3 linked regions of the Cricetulus griseus genome follow. The protein of the gene in region 1 interacts with the protein of each later gene in a biochemical or structural test. Links are inferred from orthologs where the notes say so. Each region holds a gene or a part of one and is shown in the gene's direction. Other genes may lie near its edges.

Evidence for each region.
Region 2: the proteins of Mis18bp1 (region 1) and Mis18a form a complex in vitro, tested with the Homo sapiens proteins (2 studies listed by BioGRID). The link is inferred for Cricetulus griseus from reciprocal best matches to the Homo sapiens genes MIS18BP1 and MIS18A.
Region 3: the proteins of Mis18bp1 (region 1) and Oip5 form a complex in vitro, tested with the Homo sapiens proteins (2 studies listed by BioGRID). The link is inferred for Cricetulus griseus from reciprocal best matches to the Homo sapiens genes MIS18BP1 and OIP5.

Annotation. Positions count from the first base shown.
Region 1 is NC_048598.1:137,938,970-137,941,614, forward strand, and holds the end of Mis18bp1 (mis18-binding protein 1), read left to right. Parts: intron 1-953; coding exon 954-1,008; intron 1,009-1,187; coding exon 1,188-1,282; 3' UTR 1,283-2,052; downstream 2,053-2,645. UniProt on the Homo sapiens protein: Required for recruitment of CENPA to centromeres and normal chromosome segregation during mitosis.
Region 2 is NC_048597.1:7,020,448-7,023,643, forward strand, and holds the end of Mis18a (protein Mis18-alpha), read left to right. Parts: intron 1-1,459; coding exon 1,460-1,556; intron 1,557-2,188; coding exon 2,189-2,269; 3' UTR 2,270-2,617; downstream 2,618-3,196. UniProt on the Homo sapiens protein: Required for recruitment of CENPA to centromeres and normal chromosome segregation during mitosis.
Region 3 is NC_048599.1:58,866,553-58,870,929, forward strand, and holds the start of Oip5 (protein Mis18-beta), read left to right. Parts: upstream 1-1,466; 5' UTR 1,467-1,549; coding exon 1,550-1,850; intron 1,851-2,084; coding exon 2,085-2,151; intron 2,152-4,377. Other genes in the region: Nusap1 (nucleolar and spindle-associated protein 1), read right to left, coding at 1,118-1,210. UniProt on the Homo sapiens protein: Required for recruitment of CENPA to centromeres and normal chromosome segregation during mitosis.

The DNA of each region.
Region 1 (2,645 bases):
GGCAGGCTGATCTCTGTGAGTTCGAGGTCAGCCTGGTCTCCAGAGCAAGGATAGGCTCCAAAGCTACACAGAGAAACCCTGTCTCGAAACCCCACCCCACTCCCCAAAAAAGAAAGAAACTGCATTTTTCTTTCTCTTTCCTTTTTTTGTTTTTTTTTGCTGTTATTGTTTTGAGACATGGTAGGACTACATAGCTCTGTGTAGCCCTGGCTGTCCAGGAACTCCCTTTGTAAGTCTAGTGGCCTCACACTCAGAGAACTCTTGCCTGCCTCTGCAACCCAAGTGTTGGGATTAAAGGCACCTACCATTGTGCCTATTTGATTGTTTTTCTTAATGTGTTCAAATTAAGCAGTTTATAAAATTGTGATTTACCTAATTCTTTTCATAGTCTGGTATTTGTAGCCAGTGTGTTAGTGTAGGAAAAGCCAAGAATTTTGTGTTCAAAGTACTCATTTCAAGGTCTAATTATCAGTGGCCTCATTACACTAAGCAAGTGACTAGACTTTTCTAATTTATGCATATTTAGATAATGAAAATGGCCTGCTACTGAGTGGTTATGAGAAGTAAATGATGTCTTATATAATCTCACAGGGATAATAATACATTCTATTCAAGATAAGTACTGAGTACATTGAGCCAACTTTTATAGGCTATAGACGATTCTTTGCCTTCTGTAGCATTAGTTTATATTTTCTTTCTTTTTTTAATAGTTTTTATTTTCTTACATGTATAAATATTTGCCAACGGTGAGAAACTAAGTTATGGATTTTGTTCTGCATAAACTCAAGAATGTGGTTGCTTTAGTGACTGAAAGTGATATAACAGGCCTATGTTTACAGTCCTCTGGGGATTAAGCATACTTGATTTTATGATTTTATGTAGGACTGTACTGTCTAGTCAACTCCCTTATCACAAGAGATACAATTTTGCTACTAACACACCCTCTTTTGTAGGTTGAAAATGATTTGTCATCTCCAACACCAATACGAAAAGCCCTGTTTAACAAAGGTATTGCATTTCTTTATTTTGTACCTTATTTCTATTACAATAGGATCTCTATTTGATGGTGTTAAAATTAACTGGTTCTCAAGTAGACACACTTACCATTTAGTTCATTGGAGTTGCTTTCAGTTCTATTAAAATTACCAGTAATATATTAATCTGTTTCATAAAATTTGTCTTTACAGATTTAGGTGATAACACTGCTATTTCAAAGTATTTCGTTGATGCCATAGAATCAGATGAAGAAGAGAAAGATTATTACTTTTCAAATTCTGATTGATAGTAGGACTTTTACCATCAAGCAGAGCATACTTGTATTGTCATTTGAAGAATGGGTATTGTCCTTGTAATAAGGGAATGCAGATTTGTTTCCCAAAGATGTCTTATATTTGTGTGCAAGGTTAACATCCTATAGAATATTCCTTAGTGTTGCAATAAAACACAAGTAAAACTTCTTTGCCTATGTATGTATTTATTTTATTTTTGTAATAGGAAAGTATGTAAAGCTTAAGTTTCTTAAACACCCAAGTCTGTGTACTATAGTAATCATGTCTTAAATAGGTTTTTAAATACCTTTTTAAAAACATAGAAGTCAGGAGAGAGGGGGCTGGAGTTAAAGAGCTTGGATTGGTGGATACTTGAATGAAAACTTGTAGTATCTTGCCACCTGGTATAAGCCAGAGTTCGTTGACTATTTAAATTATGTTATTCAAATTGTTTTTTTTTATGTTCTATATGTTTTCTTCTAATAGTTTTTCTTAAAATTTACCATAAGTTGGTCTGTTTGTGAAACCTCTATCTCTAATTCATTACTCTTTATTACTTTGTGAAGGGTACCAGAGGACAGCTTCTGTTGTATTCTTGAGCCGTGTCATGTATAGTTGATAGATCCACCGTTATAAGGAATTACTAGGTCATAATAACCAGGTTTTCCCTTTCCAATAGCGCCTTTAGAAGCTTGAAATAAGTTATTTGTCCTCAGGTTACACTATATATTCATTTATCCTTTGTGCTCAGACTGTTCAAATAAAATGTTAAATTTGTGTAGTATGTTTCTAGAGTTTTTTTTTAAATTTCATCAGGAAAAGAATGCATTTTGTTATCCTAAGTGTTAAAGCTCTGAGGAGGAAGGTTTTCCCAATGCATGTGTTAAAGCTTGGACAGAAAGGTAATCTGGCAGAATGGAGCCAAGCAGTACCACAAAGTCACACCGTACAACAAACCTCATATTTGTTGGGAGGAAAAACTCGGGAAGGTTGTAGGAGAAACTGCCGGCCAGTCTACTCAAGCTTCAGGTGCCCAGGCCAGCCTGCATGAGCATGCATGGCAGGCACTTCCTCCCTGAGCCAAGCCTGCCTCTAGGCCCAGAGATTGCTGAGGAAGAGACACCTGACCGGAGGCACCAGTGAGAAAAGGACAAGGCAGTAGAGTCAGCTGCCTGAGCCAATGGGAGGGGTATAAAGGCAGGCCTAACAGCATTCTGTTACCCACTCCCAGTACCCGTGTCTGGTACTTCGTCTTCTCGCCCCCTACCCCAAGGGGTGTCCAAACAGGGTCACCTGCAAGAAAAGGTGGCTGCCTCTGCTTGGGCAAGCAGCAGAGAACTTAGCAGAAGAAAGGGTTTATGTAGGATTTCTTGGGGG
Region 2 (3,196 bases), on another chromosome or scaffold:
AGATAGGATTTCTCTGTGTAGCTTTGGAGCCTGTACTAGAACTCGCAGAGGTCGCCTGCCTCTGCCTCCCGAGTGCTGGGAATAAAGGCATGAGCCACCACCACTCACCTTAATATCTTAAATTCTTGTCCTTAAAAAATTTAAAACAGTAATTTTATCCAGTTATTAATTGATAACTTTGTATTTGGCATCTTTTAAAACCAGCCAAGTTTAAATAGAAAATTTAAAATCCACTAAGCAGGTGGTGCTCCATGTTATAGAGCAGAGGGCCAGGCTCCAGACACGTGCTCCCTTAATCGGTGAGATGCTCTCTAGGGTTCGTGGCAGTGACCTGAGGTTGTGGGTGTGTACAGAAGAGAAGGAGTTTCAGCCAAGTGTGGTGACCCGCCTGTGACCTCAGCACCTAGAGGCTGGGGGGCTGCAAGGGGTGTCTAGAGTTTAAGGCCAACTGGGCTACCCGATAATTACAAAATGGAAGATACAAATCATTTTAATCCAGTAGGGTTGGAACAGAACCCTCTTTTCTAGTTTTGCTTTAGGTTTTTTTGAGACAGGGTCTCGTTATGTATCTATAACTTGCCTGGACCTTGCAGTGTAGTTCAGGCTGGCCTTGAACTCTTAGAGATCCACCTGCTTTCCTTTAAGAAGGAATGGTGTATTCGGACTCAGTACGTTGAGGATCCAGTCAGTCAAGGGGAGCTTGAGGCAGTGGGCCACACTGCTTCTCAGTCAGGAGACAGATAGATGGAGTCTCAGCTCGCTTTACTGTCTTCCCTGGAGTCAGGGAGGCTTGTGAGCTGCCACATGGGTGCTGGGAACCCAGCGTAGCTCCTACAGGAGCAGCAAGGGTTGGTTCTTAATTACTTAAACCCTAAGTAGTTAACCCTGAGGCTGCCCAACCCTTGATAATTATTAGTGCTTGTTAAAAGTCAAACTTGGAGGCCGGGCGTTGGTGGTGCACGCCTTTAATCCCAGCACTCGGGAGGCAGAGGCAGGAGGATCTCTGTGAGTTCGAGGCCAGCCTGGTCTCCGGAGCGAGTGCCATGATACGCTCCAAAGCTACAGAGAAAACCTGTCTCGAGAAACAAAAAAAAAAACAAAGAAGTGAAACTTGGAAGCACCCATGTCTCTAGAAAGTCACATAAAGCAAACGCTGGTTTCTCAGAATTGCTCTGCTTGCCCTTGGCCGTGATGTCGCTCTGCCCCCTGCCCGCCCAAAAGAGGAGGCTTCTTGCAGCAGTGAAACTTTTCTGACGAGAGTGAATATGTAGGGTTATCTGGACAGCACCGTTAGTGAGGGGTGAGGTTACGTGTTACAGCGTCTTCAGGTCTCCACCAACAGAATGCTGTCTTCACACCCGGGGCGTGGAGTCGTGCACTCAGAGCTGGCATGGTTAGCTGCTGGGACGTTGGTGCTAATTCCTTCTCATACTTGAGCTCTCACTGCAGTGCATCTCAGTTACACTTTAGGGTCCTCTGAAAAGCAAATCGTGCCGGAAGACAAGGAGCTTTTCAATCTTGAAAGCAGAGTTGAGATAGAGAAGTCTATAAAGCAGGTGAGTTTACTCTCAGTTTATGTCCCCGCTGCACCACCCTGTGATGTCACGCGCTTTGCTTTTAGCACTTGGCAGGGAAAGAGTGCTCATCGGGCGTTAGGGAGTGGAGCCGTGAGCTGATGCTGTATCCATGGAACCCTGAACACTTTCCATGCCGAGATGGAAACACTGCTCACTAAACCAGAAACGTAGCCTTGAGCAAAGCAACACTGACATTGTTTAGCACTGTGTCTGGGGGTCTGTGTGCACCCTGTGCTTGCTTGCTAGAGGTTGGAAGAGCCTGTTGGCTCCTCAGTCAGGTCTCTGGAGTGAACCAAGGTGGTCAGGCTCAGCAGCAACTACCTTTGCCTGCTATGCCACCCTGTGGCCTTAATCGGATTGGCTTGCCTGGCATTTGACTCATTGCTAAATACTAATGTTCTTGACTAAACATTGTTGTGTTGTGACTAAAGCTAGTAAGATTATGAGTATGCCTTATTCAAGTTAGAGTCACTTCCCTACAGAGTTTTGTTAGGCCTAGCATCTTTATGTCATGCAAAACATTCAAAATGGCATGGATTATTTTAATCATTAACCTATGATTAATTAATCGTACGCGCACTTGTGTTTCTTCATGCCCTTTCCATCGGTAGATAGAAGATGTCCTGAAAGCCTTGGAAATGAAGGTGTGGGAGGTGGAGTCAAAGCTGTCCTATGCTGGCCGCTGCAGCTGAGCTGTGCTCTGCCCCACCCCGCCCTGCCCCGCCCTTGTTCCCAAAGTACTTTAGGAGAAAGAAATCACGTTTCCCAATTTTGTGAGTTCCTATTTTCATAAAAGACCCGGGGTGATTTTTCTGTCTTCTTTTTCTGTTAAATTCATTGTATGTGTACATTTTCCTGTTTTTTTAAACTTTGTCATTTTTAATACTTTGTATATTTATGAATGAGTAGTAAGAAAATCACTCATCTCGGGTAAGAGTGTAGTGAAATGTATTAGATTTGGACTTTTTATAATGTAAAACTTCTATAAGGAACATGTATTATTTTTATAATAAGGAAGAGAATAAAGATTTTAAAAGTGCTTAAAGGTTCATTTGTTTGTTTACAAACCAAATTGATATTTAAGTGAGATAAGAAAAATTGTGGGACCCTGAAATCCACATATTCACTGAGCATGCACTGTGCTCTGCTCGGCCCAGAGCCCTTCCTTGGTACAGATGACACTCGTCACAGCACCTTGTGGGACCAACTCACTCAGTTCCCGGTCAGTTGTTCGGAAGCACCCTGAAAACACTAGCATTACAGCAGGGTAACTGGTGGTGTGCCCTAGTGACTGGAAGGCTTTGGGGCATTTCAGTTCCAGCTGTGACACAATGTCTGAACTGCACGTTTAGTTTTTTTTTTTTTTAAGATTTTATTATGTATACAACATTCTGCTTCCATGTATATGTGCACACCAGAAGAGGGCACCAGATCTCATAACGGATGGTTGTGAGCCACCATGTGGTTGCTGGGAACTGAACTCAGGACCTCTGGAAGAGCAGTCGGCGCTCTTAACCTCTGAGCCATCTCTCCAGCCCACGTTTAGTTTTTTATTTGACAGTTGAATATATTCATCAAACAGAAGATGGGCCACAGACATGCCTGTGGTGTGCAGGAGC
Region 3 (4,377 bases), on another chromosome or scaffold:
TGTCTAGGAGGCCAGCACGGGACTGATCCATAACCCTGAACATGGATGTCAATGAGGAGGCCTTGGCACTCTATGGGGCCCCTAGTAGTGAATCAGTAAGAAGGGACTTTGGGAGCCCATCCCACATGGAGGAATGCTCTCTCAGCCTGGACACATGGGGGAGGGCCTAGGCCCTGCCCAGGATGATATGACAGACTTTGGGGAACCCCCATGGAGGGCCTTACCCTCCCTGGGGAGCAGAGGGGGATGAGGTGGGGGCTGGGGGAAGGGGAGAGGGGATTGATATGTGAAGCAGCCTTGTTTCCAATTTGAACTAATAAAAAAATAATCTCTTGGGGAAAAAAAGAAAAGCAAACAAAAAATCCACAAGATAGCAAATACCTGAGGGCCTAAGCTTTACTCATTAAAGTTGTGTAACTCAGAAACATTTCCAAGTACTCTTCATTGCCATTCAGACAGATTCGAGGAGCATCTATGGTCTCATTATTCTGTTTATATCACTTAAAAATATTTGTGATGACTGAATAGACATTTAGTGTAAATATCAGCTTGCTGTACAAATCTACGGGGTACACATGTGGGAAATCTCAACTCCAACATAGCAAGCCCCAGTCTCACAATGAATGACGTTTTCTCTGAACACCTTGCAAAAGTCCTAACCGGTTTTGAAAAAGAACACCATCACTATAGCGATCATACTATATCCCCATGGCTTGGCATCCAAATAAAGGCCCAAGAAGATTGTAGGTACTACTATCACAGTTTACTTAAAAGTAGTAATTTGGGAAATTTCCAGGAGCCAATTCAACTTTTTCTAATAACAGGCATTAGACATTACATTGATTATGTCTTATGGGTCTGTGTTTCCTTCTGGCAGCAGGAAACTATCATTAGAGTTTCTAGTAAGAGGCCTTTATGAGTTCCTGCCTCCAAATAAAATAACAGATATATCTTCTCTTTCGTTTAACAGATTCCAGCCAACGTGAGCCGAACCTACTCACCCAAAACCAGAGTCCCCCGGGGGTTCCCTCTCTGTCCCTTCGCCCCGTGACCCCCACACCCCTGGTCTCTTCTACCCCGCCGACCCAACTGCCCGCACCACCAGCCAGCACCGTACCCTCAGGTTAGCCCGGAGGCCCAGCCGTTTGGCTAAATTTTGCAGGTCGCTGTACTTGAAAGAGTCCAACTCCTCTGCAGAGGGGACGGTCATCGCGTTCTACAATCCCGGCGACACCCAGAAAAACAACCAGGCGACTCAAACAGCAGCGTTCAAAACTGGCGCCACCCAAGGCGTTGACAAGCCGACTTTTATATTCATTTTAAATGGAGGCTGCTGCACGTCCATTGGTTGAACGCCTCGGGGGTGGGGTTTTCCGATGCTGGCCAATAGAGCTGCTGAAGCGCGCAATAGCGCAAGCCTAACCAATGAATACGCGGCGCTCGACGGCTTGTGGGCGTGCCTTACGGGCATGTTGTCCAACGAGGATGCAGGAAACTTCGTTTCGGTGGAACCTGGCGCGAGCGTACAAAAAGAGGCGCCGGCTTCAGAATGATGGCTCGCTCGCGGCGCCTCCTCCCGTCCCCCGAGTCGCCGTGCTGCAGTGACTCTTGTGACACGCCTTCTGCTGCTACCTCCATGGAGTGGGACACTCAGGTGGTGTCAGGGTCTTCCCCTCTAGGTCCTCCGGAGACTGAGGTGGAGACGTCACCGGTCGACCTGCGGCTGCCTGCGTGGCTGGAACCGGAGAGGTGCGCCGTGTTCCACTGCGCGCATTGCCACGCGGTGCTCGCCGACACCGTGCATCTCGCCTGGGACCTGTCGAGGTCCCTCGGGACCGTGGCCTTCTCCAGTGAGTGAGGCGAGGGTTGGCGTCTGAGAAAGGGTAATCCCGACCTGTGGGATCGTAAACGAGCTGGGTGAGGGAGGCGTGGTTTTGTTTTCCGGAGCTGGGAATCAAACTTTGGACCGACCTCGCGTGAGCTAAGCTTGCGCTTTTGGATGAGCCCCACGCGTTTTGTTGACTTTTATGACCAGGATGAATCTGGTGGGCGGTTTTCCTATTCAAAACCCTTTTGTCTTTCAGGAGTCACGAACAATGTCGTTTTATTAGAGCCCTGTCTCGTTGGCATTGAAGGTTCTCTCAAATGCAGGTACGTGCGGAGAATTCCTGAGAAGGATCTATAGTTCCTTATTTAATGACACCGAGGACTATGTAGTTGTCGTAAACAAGAAAAAAAACTTTATTTTTGTTGTGACAAAAGTTTATTCTCTCCATACAATATATTTGGATGGTACATTTTTTATGCGTTTGAAACATGTCAACAAGGCATTAATGAAAGAAAAATTAGAGTTGGGTGTAGGTTTTAACATCTGAGGACTAAAACATCCTGTGAGATAACTAGGACTATTTAAATTTTAATTTAACTTGGAGTTTATATTACAAACCATAACAGAACTAATTCTGTAATAATCTCTGAAACTGGGGAAACACAATTGAATGTTTGGTGTTTCAGTACTACTAGTAATTTGCCTCTTCCCATATTTTCCCCATAGCAATAAAGTACTCAGCAAATTTGTGCTTATGAGGCCAAAACTAAGTTGTAACCATACCTCTATTCCACTTTGCCAAACTGAAAGACACATTCCTATTCTTATAGGAGTCCTTTCTCACCTGGTGGTTTATGCCTTTAATCTCAGTGCTTGGCAGGTGGTGTGTGTGTGTGTGTGTGTGTGTGTGTGTGTGTGTGTGTGTGTGTGTGTGTGTGTGTAGAGAGAGACAGGTGGATCTCTGTGAGTTCCAGGCCAGGCTGGTCTACACAGTGAGTTCCAGGACAGCCAGAGCTGTTACAACAGAGAAACTCTGTCTTGAAAAACCATAAATAAACAGTGTGTGTGTGTGTGTGTGTGTGTGTGTGTGTGTGTGTGTGTAAGTATGGTTGGGGGTCTTGGGGCTTGGCATATATATTGAGGTTCAAAGGCAACTTGAAGGAGTCTTTCTTTTCACCATGCTGGTCCCAAGAATTAATCTCAGTTCCTCAGGCTTGGCAACAAGTGCCTTTACCCCTTGAGTCATCTCACTGCTCCTGAAGTGACATTTTTAATATGTTTAGCTATGTAAAATATCTTAATTTCACAAAAAATAATGATTTTGCCTTGACTTTACAGTTCTACCTCTCCCTCCCAAGTGCTGGGTTCTCATATATGGAAACCTACACCAAATCTCTTTTTAAAAGCCTGGTAAGCCAGGTGGTGGTGGCACACACCTTTAATCCCAGTACTCGGGAAGCAGAGGCTGGTCTACAGAGTGAGTTCCAGGACAGCCTTCAAAGCTACAGAGAAACCCTGTCTCAAAAAAACAAATAAATAAGGCTGGGCATTGGTGTCGAACGCCTTTAATCCCAGCACTCGGGAGGCAGAGGCAGGTGGATCTGAGTTTGAGACCAGCCTGGTCTACAAGAGCTAGTTCGAGGACAGGCTCCAAAGCCATAGAGAAACCCTGTCTCAGAAAAAAACAAAAAACAAAACAAACAAACAAAAAAGAGTAGGGGAAAATATTCCACTTCACTGCCTGTTGCTATTATGACTTGTTGTCTTCCAGATTGATGGAATATTACAATGAATAGAAATTAAAATCTAGGGGCTGGAGTGATGGCTCAGTAGTTAAGAACACTGACTGTTCTTCCTGAGGTCCAGAGTTCAATTCCCGGCAACCACATAGTGGCTCACAAGCACCTTAAATGAGATCTGGTACCTTCTGCTGGCGAGCAAGCAGAAGACTGTATACATAATAAATAAAATCTTAAAAAAAAAATTAAAATCTAATTGACCTTGTTCTATATAATGAAATGGAGATACAATTTGTTTACATATTAGAAGTAAATGCCTTAAGTCCTCCAGTGTTCATGATCCAGGGCCCAACAAGCTATATTATGTTAACTCTATAGCATGGAGCAGAAAAACCCCAAACATCTTAAGGACAGTAGTAATTTTCTTTATAAGGTAGGGCGCCATGGACTGTACAAGTGATCGGAGGCAGTACAGAAATTAATTTTTGTCATAAATTATGACCTTTGTTTTTTTTTTTTTTTTAAGATTTTATTTATTATGTGTACAGTGTTCTGCCTGCATGTATCCCTGGAGGCCAGAGGAGGGCACCAGATCTCATTACAGATGGTTGTGAGCCATCATGTGGGTTCTGGGAATTGAACTCAGGACCTCTGGAAGAGCAGACAGTGCTCTTAACCTCTGAGCCTCTCTCCAGCCCATTGTTTTTGTTTTTTTGAGACAAGAGTCTGCTGTATCCCAGCTGTCTTTGGAAGCCTGTGAATTTGAACTTGAGATCCTCCTGCCTGGGCTTCTGAGTGGCAGGATAACAG